2 linked regions of the Caenorhabditis elegans genome follow. The protein of the gene in region 1 purifies or fractionates together with the protein of each later gene. This does not show direct contact. Each region holds a gene or a part of one and is shown on either strand. Other genes may lie near its edges.

Region 1 (4,025 bases):
TTTCGAGCAATTCAAGACGTGTCTTCACAAACTGGTCGTAGTTTCCTCCATAGTAAACCAATTGCTTTTGGAACAAATGAATGATGTTGGTGCAAACTCCGTTCATGAAATCTTGAGAGTGAGAAACCACCAACAAGGTTCTTTTATACTGAGCGAGTTCCTCCTCAAGCCACACACAAGCTTCCAAATCCAAATGATTGGTCGGTTCGTCGAGAAGTAAGACTGACGGTTTCAGGAAAAGTGCACGAGCGAGAGCAATGCGCATTCTCCATCCTCCAGAAAAATCTTTACATTTTTTCATTTGCATAGTTTTTGTGAATCCAAGTCCGTGCAAAATTTCGGCAGCCTTCTTTTCAGCGAGAGATGCATCCATTTCATCCAGCCTTTCGTAAACATCCATCAGCTTGTCCTGACTTTCCTCATCAGTCTGACTAGCAAGCTGCTCGGCAAGATGTTCCAACTCTTTTCTGACTGAATCGACATCAACGACCGCTTGAAGAGCAGTTTTCTCTGAAGCAGGCATTTCACGGGATACGAGGTACATATCCACGGACTCTGGGATTGGCATTTCCTTGTTGTAGATTGCCTGAATGATGGTAGACTTTCCAGATCCGTTCAATCCGATGAGTCCGTAACGACGTCCACGGTTGAGTTCGAGTTTCGTGTCAACGACAATTTCACGACCGTGGAATGTAATCTGAATGAAAACAAAGTTACTTGTTGGAGTCGCCAATTAAAAACCACTTACCGTCAGGCTTTCTACTCTGTGATCAAGACCCTTTGGATCGGAAGTCAATGATCCGGCGACTGAACGAGCAGCAGCGTTTTCCAATTCGATTTTGGCCAAGGTGGCGGCGGCCTGATCGAGCTCCTCGTCTAAACAGCAGAGACTGTTGACGGACGGATGTTGAGATGACATGGCGGTTGGTGTTTCTACCTGGAAATGAGATGATTATTATTTGTTAAACAAAAAAAAACTAAAAATCAATTGCTCACCTTCTTTTTTCCTTTTCCTCCTTTGGCGGCAGCCTTCTTAGCGGCCTCGCGTGCTTTCTTCGCATCAGACGGCATTGTTGTCCAGCAGTGATGCGGATGGGGTACCCTAAATTTTTATTTATTTATCTCTCAAATACACGGAAAAAGCGACGGATAAAAAATACGAGAGCGAAAATTCACATAAACTAGACGAGAAATCCTCAAAAAAAGCAGGAAAAGAAATATTATTTCAACGAAGCGAAGGCCTTTGGCATGGCACAGTGATCCAAATGGTGAACGTAGTCAGCCATCTCCTGATGGCAGGTCTCCTCAGTGTTAGAACGAGAGTTGACACGATCGTTGCACTCGTCGAGAATACTCTTGAATTCGGTGACATGGTCGGCACATCGCTCACGGTATTGAGTAAGTTGATCGACGTCAGCCTCGAGTGGCTCTTCCTTGTGGCTCGACATACTGATACCCGAAAAAAATTCCATGATAGTGACAAGTCATTGGCTCGATGAGAAGAGAAATATGAAGAAAACTACTTTAAAGCGATTCGAAAAACCGGTCATACCAAACTCCCGTAGGCATAAATTAGCCACAATGCGATATCGATTTTTTTCGGAACATTGAGGTTACGAATAACCAGTTATCTACAGTGTAAATAAACAAAAAACACTTCAAGTACTGCTTATCACTAATACACTATTGTGTTTGCTTTGACATGGCTCATAATTTTCATAAAAACTGAAACTTTCGCAATTAAGTTACTTTCTTGGAGTTATGACCTATTTTTCGAAAATAAATCACGTTTTTTTAATAAAACAAAACGTGAAAAATTCAGGAATGAAGGAACGAACACGTTTAGAAAAGAAAAATACGAAAAATCGATAACAAAACTGATATTTAGGCTCAAAATATGCAAAAAATCCCAAAACTGGGCGGTCAGAGAAAACTAGTGTTTGAATCGCCGCGCCTGACGCACCGTACTTGCGAGCGTGGCGAGACCTGCAAAGTGCCTCACGGGCTGTGCGCGCACCCCGTTTCGACGGGCGGCCGTCTTCCCACTATTGCTTCTGGCAAGCACCGACCACCGAGGTCCTTCAATCTTGAATCATGTCCAAAGAAAAGTCCTTCGACACCAAAAAGTTCTTGATCGATCTCGCCTCAGGAGGTAAGCTTTTTCAGTTTTTATTGCAAAAATTTGGAGGATTTCTATAATTATTAATTTTGGGTTTTCATTCGTCAAATTTGTGATTTAATTAATTTTGTTTTCTTTTAGGTACCGCTGCTGCCGTCTCCAAGACCGCTGTTGCCCCAATTGAGCGTGTCAAGCTTCTCCTCCAGGTGTGTGATGAAACTTTTTTCCACTATAAATATGAAAAATTTTAGGTCCAAGATGCTTCCAAGGCTATCGCCGTTGACAAGCGTTACAAGGGAATCATGGATGTTCTCATCCGTGTCCCAAAGGAGCAAGGAGTTGCTGCCCTCTGGAGAGGAAACCTCGCTAACGTCATCCGGTACTTCCCAACTCAGGCCATGAACTTCGCCTTCAAGGACACATACAAGGCAATCTTCCTTGAGGGACTCGACAAAAAGAAGGACTTCTGGAAGTAAGTTAAACATTGCATTATTGTTTTTAGAAAATTTCACATTTGAAATTCAGGTTCTTCGCAGGAAACTTGGCTTCCGGAGGAGCTGCTGGAGCCACCTCCCTCTGCTTCGTCTACCCACTCGACTTTGCCCGTACCCGTCTTGCTGCTGATATTGGAAAGGCCAACGACCGTGAATTCAAGGGACTTGCTGACTGCCTTATCAAGATCGTGAAATCCGATGGACCAATCGGACTCTACAGAGGATTCTTCGTCTCCGTGCAAGGAATTATCATCTACCGTGCCGCATACTTCGGAATGTTCGATACCGCCAAGATGGTCTTCGCTTCTGATGGACAGAAACTCAACTTCTTCGCCGCTTGGGGAATTGCTCAAGTTGTCACAGTCGGATCTGGAATCCTTTCCTACCCATGGGACACTGTTCGTCGTCGTATGATGATGCAGTCTGGACGCAAGGATATCCTCTACAAAAACACCCTCGATTGCGCAAAGAAGATCATCCAAAACGAAGGAATGTCCGCTATGTTCAAGGGAGCCCTCTCCAACGTCTTCCGTGGAACCGGAGGAGCCCTCGTCTTGGCCATCTACGACGAAATCCAGAAGTTCCTTTAAATTTGATAACACTTTGATAATTTTTACCTTGTCATTGTCCAACAAAATCTCGTTATGTAGCTTGTTTTAGCAAAGTAGTTCACCTAGCTACTATGTTAAGTTTTCAAAAATAAAGCGAGCCACATAAAAAGTTTTAAATCCTCTATTAAAGTTTTCCCCTTTTCAAATTCTCATTCTTTCCCTCAACACCCCGATTGAACATTCGTTAGGATAGCCCCTTTATCTGGACTCGGTTTGACAATCTCGGTTATTGCACCTGTGTTTGCCGTTGATCTTTAAAATTACTCGAACAACAATAAAACGTTGTTGATTTTCCCTTCGTTCAATTATGTGCCACAGAAAGATTTCAAACCGTAGCCGTTTATTAACGATGAGATTTTGTTTCGCAAGCAATGAGGTTCATTTGGGGTCAGTGGGGGAAGTGAATGCCAGGGAAAGCGAGAAAACAATGTGAGTAGGAAAGTGCAATAGTGAATAGTTAGACGTCAGAAGTGTCTGCGAAGTACGCATGGCGTAGAGCTGCATCGGCATCGATTCTTCCTGCTGGATTGCAAACAAGAAGTTTCTGCAAATACTTCGAGTTTGAGTAAGTATAATTTTTATTGGAAAAAAGTTACCTGTAAAAGATCACGGCCACGTGAATTCAAATTAGGTACGATTTGGCTCCATGTAAGCGTTGGATGGTAGATTGGGTAGGGCTGAAAAATGGTATGTTATACTTGTGTGTTCCTATAATGCAATGGAATTCAATTAATTATTGTCAATCTTAAATCTAGAACAGTTGTCTCTGCTTCTCTAAATCTACTCAATACTCTGTTCTCT
Region 2 (5,229 bases), 8.6 Mb from region 1:
ACAATATACAGGGATAATGATATGAAGACTGCTATCGGTCTAGATGGAACTCCATTGATGGCAAGAATCTCGATAAAGTGAAGCAGCAAAGCAAATGTAGTAATGACGCCAACAGAGGAAAGAAATCGAACATCTTCAAAACTGAAAGGAAATTGTAAAAATTACGGTTTTCGTGAAAACTCATCAAATGTCCTTTTGGAATGCACTTTGAATTTAGAACACAGAAAATAACTTACTTCATGTTCGAGACTAAAAGTACGACTTTCAATTTAATGAGGCGTGTTTAAAAATGATCAATTTGGAAGTTTCGAACAATAGGGAATAAATCATTTGGATGCGATAAAATAATAGTCCACGAAATTCTTTACGTGAATGTATTAATTCGATTAATTAAAATTATAAAAGAAACTGAATATATTTGAAAAAAAAAAGCAAGGATGAGATGAAACAAGATGTGTTGAGTATCTGTAGAAAACATTAAATTTAAGAACATTTGGGATAGATCTGAAATTTTGGAGAGAAATAAAACAAGTACAAATGAAAAAATGAGAAAACTCGTGCGAAAAAGTATAAACGTATTTCGAGGGGAATATACAGGCAATATTGTACACGATAGGTTTTAACAGCATGCAAAATTTTTGAGGGAGTCATAGAATTTCTGGTGCAATTGCATGAACTTTGGGAAGTCTTCAGGACGGATCACAGTTTCTTCTGTAGTTTTTGGATACATCTCACTGGCTGATGAACGACGGAATTTTTGGAAATGTGATGGTATATGTCGCTCCGGTACTGATACATTATTGTTTCCTATTTCAAGAAGACGCTGCTCGAGAATTGAGATTCCATTCTGAAAATTTAAAATTTAATTGAAAGTTGAGACATTTTCAGCATACGGCGATAGTTTGTGCATCAACGACGTGTTTCAAGAACATATGGATAATATGATCAATTTTGAATGTCAAAACGGGCATTCGTTTTCCACTGAGAAGAGCTCCACGTCTGAAATTTTAAGTGTTAATTTAAATCTTCAAATTTCAAGACTCATACTTGCTGAGTCTTTTCAACCGATCCGCAACTTCATCATCCAATTGTTCTTCTTCATTTGAACAAATATCAACTGGAATAACACATGACCATAGCTTGACGGGTATATCAACTCCAGGAGGCATCACAACTGCGAAAGCAAGAGCACTTCGATCCTCATCTGACAAAACTTCAACACATCTTTGAAGAGCCATTGCGAGTGACTTGTACGAGTAAGGGGTGATACATTCAACACCGACTAATCCTCGACTTTCCAATTTGTTATTAAGCTGTGCCATTCTGAATGCAAAATGTTTGATAATTTTAAGAATATACCTAGCGATTTTGGACTAAAAATGTATTATTTCGTTTCGACATTCCGGAAAATGATTAAATAAAAAGAGTATGCGGATTTAAGAAGTACAGTAGTCTCCAGCCTTGCTGTTTTTCTATTTTACTTGATTTTTTTTAAATATTTTATTCAGTTTTTAATATTTTTAGACTTGTTTCAAAATAAAAGGCTTTAAATAAAAAGAAACAACAAGAGAAAATCGAAAAATAATGAAAACAGGCTCATACTCGCTTTCATTTAAAAAATTTCCGTCGGGTCGAGACCGTGTATCTCTTGTTCAATTATGTAAAACGATAATTTTCTTAAAAAATTAAATCGATGGCAAATATCAAGAAAATCTCTCGGGTACGGTAGCTACACAGTTTTCTCTCGTGCCAGGATCCTAATTCTTGATTTTGATCCTCAATTCGTAAAATTTAAAGACAATCAGCTATGAAACTTTTTGATTAACTTTTATTGTAGAATAAATTATTTTAAAAGTCTCAAATTGGTATGTCCCACTCACTTTTCAAATGTTTTCGGTTCACAAGACTTGAAAAACATCATAAGCGTTGCTGGATTTCCACTGCTTAGTTCGATTGTTTTATTAAGCACATCTTCTTCTTTTTCTCCAACAGGCATCGGCATTCCATAAGCTTCTAGAAAATCATAACATTCATCGATTTCCAATGATGTCACTTCAATGAATTCGCATGTTTGAGAAGCAGCATTTGATATTTCCACGTCACGAGTAGTTACAAGACATCGAAGACGTAGCTCCTGAGCCCAACGAATTGTTTCTTCTTGAACTACGTCATCAAATACGAATAAAGTATTTGGACGATCAATGAGTGCGTTGCAGATCTAAAAACCAATAATTTAAGATATTGTACCAGAATCGGCAAGCAACTTACCATCCTTTTGAGTACAACTGACGTGACATGCTCCACCGATGGGAAATTGAGAAGATCGTCTTCGCTTCTTGAAAGAACACGGTTAATGAAGTCGGTGATCGAATGCGAGTCATCCGTGTCGCTCACAACACGGGCTCGTCTTCAAACACACAAAACATGCAAGCGTCACGAAATATCAAATTAAAAGCTAACCAGGTCAAATTTTCATAATTTCAAAATCATGCTGAATGTTACATGCACTCTATTCACTCACTTTAGCATCAGCAAAATATCCGTAAATAAATCGAATGTAGATTTTGGAGCTGTTCCACTATCTTTGAGCCAAACGATTGAATCATAATTTCTGTAATAGAATGAAGATCCGTAGGATTCAGATAATACCACTCACATTCCAATAAGTTGGTCAGATTTCGAAAGAGCTTGTGATGCAATTACTGATTTTCCGGATCCAGCTCGGCCGTGTAGAAACAGAAAAAAGGAGTCTGAAGTTTAAGCAAGATTATAATAAACACGAGAGCTTCCAGTTTTCTCACCTAAATCACACATCTCGTCGAGCTTTTTGATCACTCGATCCACGTGATACTCTCGAATATAGCATGTCATTTGTTTTGGAACATTCCCAAGCAATAGTTTCCTATCGAGCATTTGTCGGGAAAATTGTGGAGCAATCACTACTGGACGAAGTAGATCTGGCTCATTTATCGCAAAATCGATGTAGTCTTCGAGGAAATCAGCAAGGTGACTTTGATTGTTGTAGTTGAAAAAGTCGATGAGTGGTCCAAGTTCAGAAGCTTGACGTCGATAGATTCGAAGAAAATTGGCGATCCTCTCGAGGCGAGTTGACATTTTACTGATAAGTTCAGAATGATCTTCTGTGAAAATGTTTTTGCCTTCTAAATAAGTCAATGCGTCACGTGGTTCAAAGTCGTGGATGAGCCTCGTGTGTGCCGTGCTCAAAGCGCGGCATTCGATTTCGCAGAGCATCTGAAAAATCTTCTTGATTATAAGGAAGCAAGATTTTGTGAATTTTAAAATGCTAGGTGATGTTTTCGAAACAACGGTTAGCTGGAGAATATACAATAGCATTGATAAAAAATTATTTGTTAAACATTATATACACTTTAAAAAAACAGGCATGTAATATAGAGGATAAATCTCCAAGCCCGAAATGTGCATAAATTGTGAGGCATAAAAATACCTTGAAAATGAGTAAAGAACATTGTATAATCAGATAGAAGCAAGAAAGATTTTAAAAAAATACAGTAAAGCTTACAGATAAAATGAAATTAAACATGAAGGAGTACTAATTTATAAAAATCGTTGAATATAAATAGACCGGAAGATATGCTGATCTCGAATGCAACGAGTAAAAAGTAGACAAAAATAAATTCGAATTTTCAGATAAAAATGCAGTTTATTTGGTAGAAACATTGTACAGGAATGTGAGAGGCCTAATAAACAAAAATATATCGGCAAATCGGCATATAGTTCTTATTTAAAAAGCGAATGAGTAAAACAGTGAAATATCACAATCCTTTATCCTTTCCTCTTTGCTTAGTGATTGTCACACGTCCTTCTTCTAAATCTTCCACTGTCGCTGATATTTGCCGAGAATCCCAACCCTGTAATACAATATTCAAATACAAAAACAGTACATTTTGTAGCTTCATACAACAATCAGAAAAATTATAATTTAAATTAAAAAGAAAGCCAAGCCCTCTTTATTGCGTTTTATTGATTTTTAATCGTTTTTCGTTAATCTTCGAAAATTAATTTGGAAAAAAAAACAATTTTTTTAATTGTAGAAACATCAGATAACTTACATTAGCCCCTTTCAAGTTAATCATTTTATCGGTGACAATTTCGAGTTTTGCGAGCATTTCTCCAAATATTCTGTTATACGCATAGACATCTTCGCCGTGTTTGAATGACTTGTTATCGATCACAAGTTTCGGTTTCTGAATCGATACCGAACAGACAATGATTCGACGCGAATTCGGCCGATTCATAATAATATCCAACTCTTGTCGAATTCTCGGATTTTCGAAAGACAAATTCAGCTTGAATTCAGGTATTCGAGTATTCTGATTTGAATTGAAGTAAGTGACTGGCTCAACAAGCTGTCCTCCTCCACGTCCTCGCAGAGTTTTCTTGTTGGACTCGAACACAGGCGGAGCTGACTGTTGTTTATGAATATCGATGACTCCGTATTCATGCAAAACTGTTTTGTCCATTTCATCACTCCTTTTCGTGAATTCGTCTAGCAATTCCGTTAACCGCAATGTGCATTCTGCTTGATCTGCGGCACTTCTTGTATTGAAATCATTTTTTGCTAAAGAATTTGTATTTTGAGCTTTTCAAAGTTTTCAACAATTCAAAAGATACCTTTTAGTTCGGCTCTCGCGCGATGGCACTCAATTCGATCCTTCTGGACTTTTCTATCTTTATCGAAGTTCCGGCGAGCAGTATGTAAAAGTGGATGATTGTCTGAAACATTTAAATTTAATAATTAAAATAAAATCAATAAAAGATAATCTTGACAGCTGGTTTACCGTGTTCCAACATTGCCAGCTCTTCAATTAATTTATTGATCGGCATGTGACGAGCATGTCGGATGAAATCTGAAAGAAAACCATTATCATGTGAATGTTAATCAATAATATATACCATCGTCAAACTCCACATCGTTTGTGTTAGATGTACTCGCAATTCCAACGTCCTGGAATAATATATTCAATTAAAAATGTTTTAAAATACTAGTCTCTCACCATCCAGGATTGTTATAGGTTAATTGAGTGACAGCTGTAAATGTTTATCGGAACTTTAATGTTTTATAAAAAGTAATTGTTAGAAAAAGTGAAGAGTTATAAAATATTATTTAAATGAAGCAAACAAAGAGCAAGCTGCTCCGCTTTGCAATTCGAATTGCCGGGAATATCAATCGTCGTCAAATCAGGTGCA

Evidence for each region.
Region 2: the proteins of ant-1.1 (region 1) and ced-4 purify together in Caenorhabditis elegans (affinity purification with western blotting; one study listed by BioGRID). This does not show direct contact.

The regions. Positions count from the first base shown.
Region 1 is NC_003281.10:13,461,137-13,465,161, forward strand, and holds ant-1.1 (ADP/ATP translocase), read left to right. Parts: upstream 1-2,026; 5' UTR 2,027-2,094; coding exon 2,095-2,152; intron 2,153-2,260; coding exon 2,261-2,325; intron 2,326-2,370; coding exon 2,371-2,591; intron 2,592-2,644; coding exon 2,645-3,203; 3' UTR 3,204-3,516; downstream 3,517-4,025. Other genes in the region: abcf-2 (ABC transporter domain-containing protein), read right to left, coding at 1-697, 749-937, 997-1,071; T27E9.2 (Cytochrome b-c1 complex subunit 6), read right to left, coding at 1,221-1,448; cdk-5 (Cyclin-dependent-like kinase 5), read right to left, coding at 3,682-3,768, 3,821-3,901.
Region 2 is NC_003281.10:4,850,348-4,855,576, reverse strand, and holds ced-4 (Cell death protein 4), read right to left. Parts: upstream 3,253-5,229; coding exon 2,802-3,252; intron 2,751-2,801; coding exon 2,657-2,750; intron 2,612-2,656; coding exon 2,524-2,611; coding exon of another isoform or gene 2,522-2,523; intron 2,404-2,521; coding exon 2,269-2,403; intron 2,219-2,268; coding exon 1,881-2,218; intron 1,324-1,880; coding exon 1,048-1,323; intron 1,000-1,047; coding exon 894-999; intron 848-893; coding exon 620-847; downstream 1-619. Other genes in the region: C35D10.8 (PH domain-containing protein), read right to left, coding at 3-141, 237-241; F26A1.1 (Non-structural maintenance of chromosomes element 4), read right to left, coding at 3,795-3,890, 4,092-4,600, 4,654-4,755, 4,821-4,889, 4,936-4,987, 5,037-5,039. UniProt on the Caenorhabditis elegans protein: Component of the egl-1, ced-9, ced-4 and ced-3 apoptotic signaling cascade required for the initiation of programmed cell death in cells fated to die during embryonic and postembryonic development.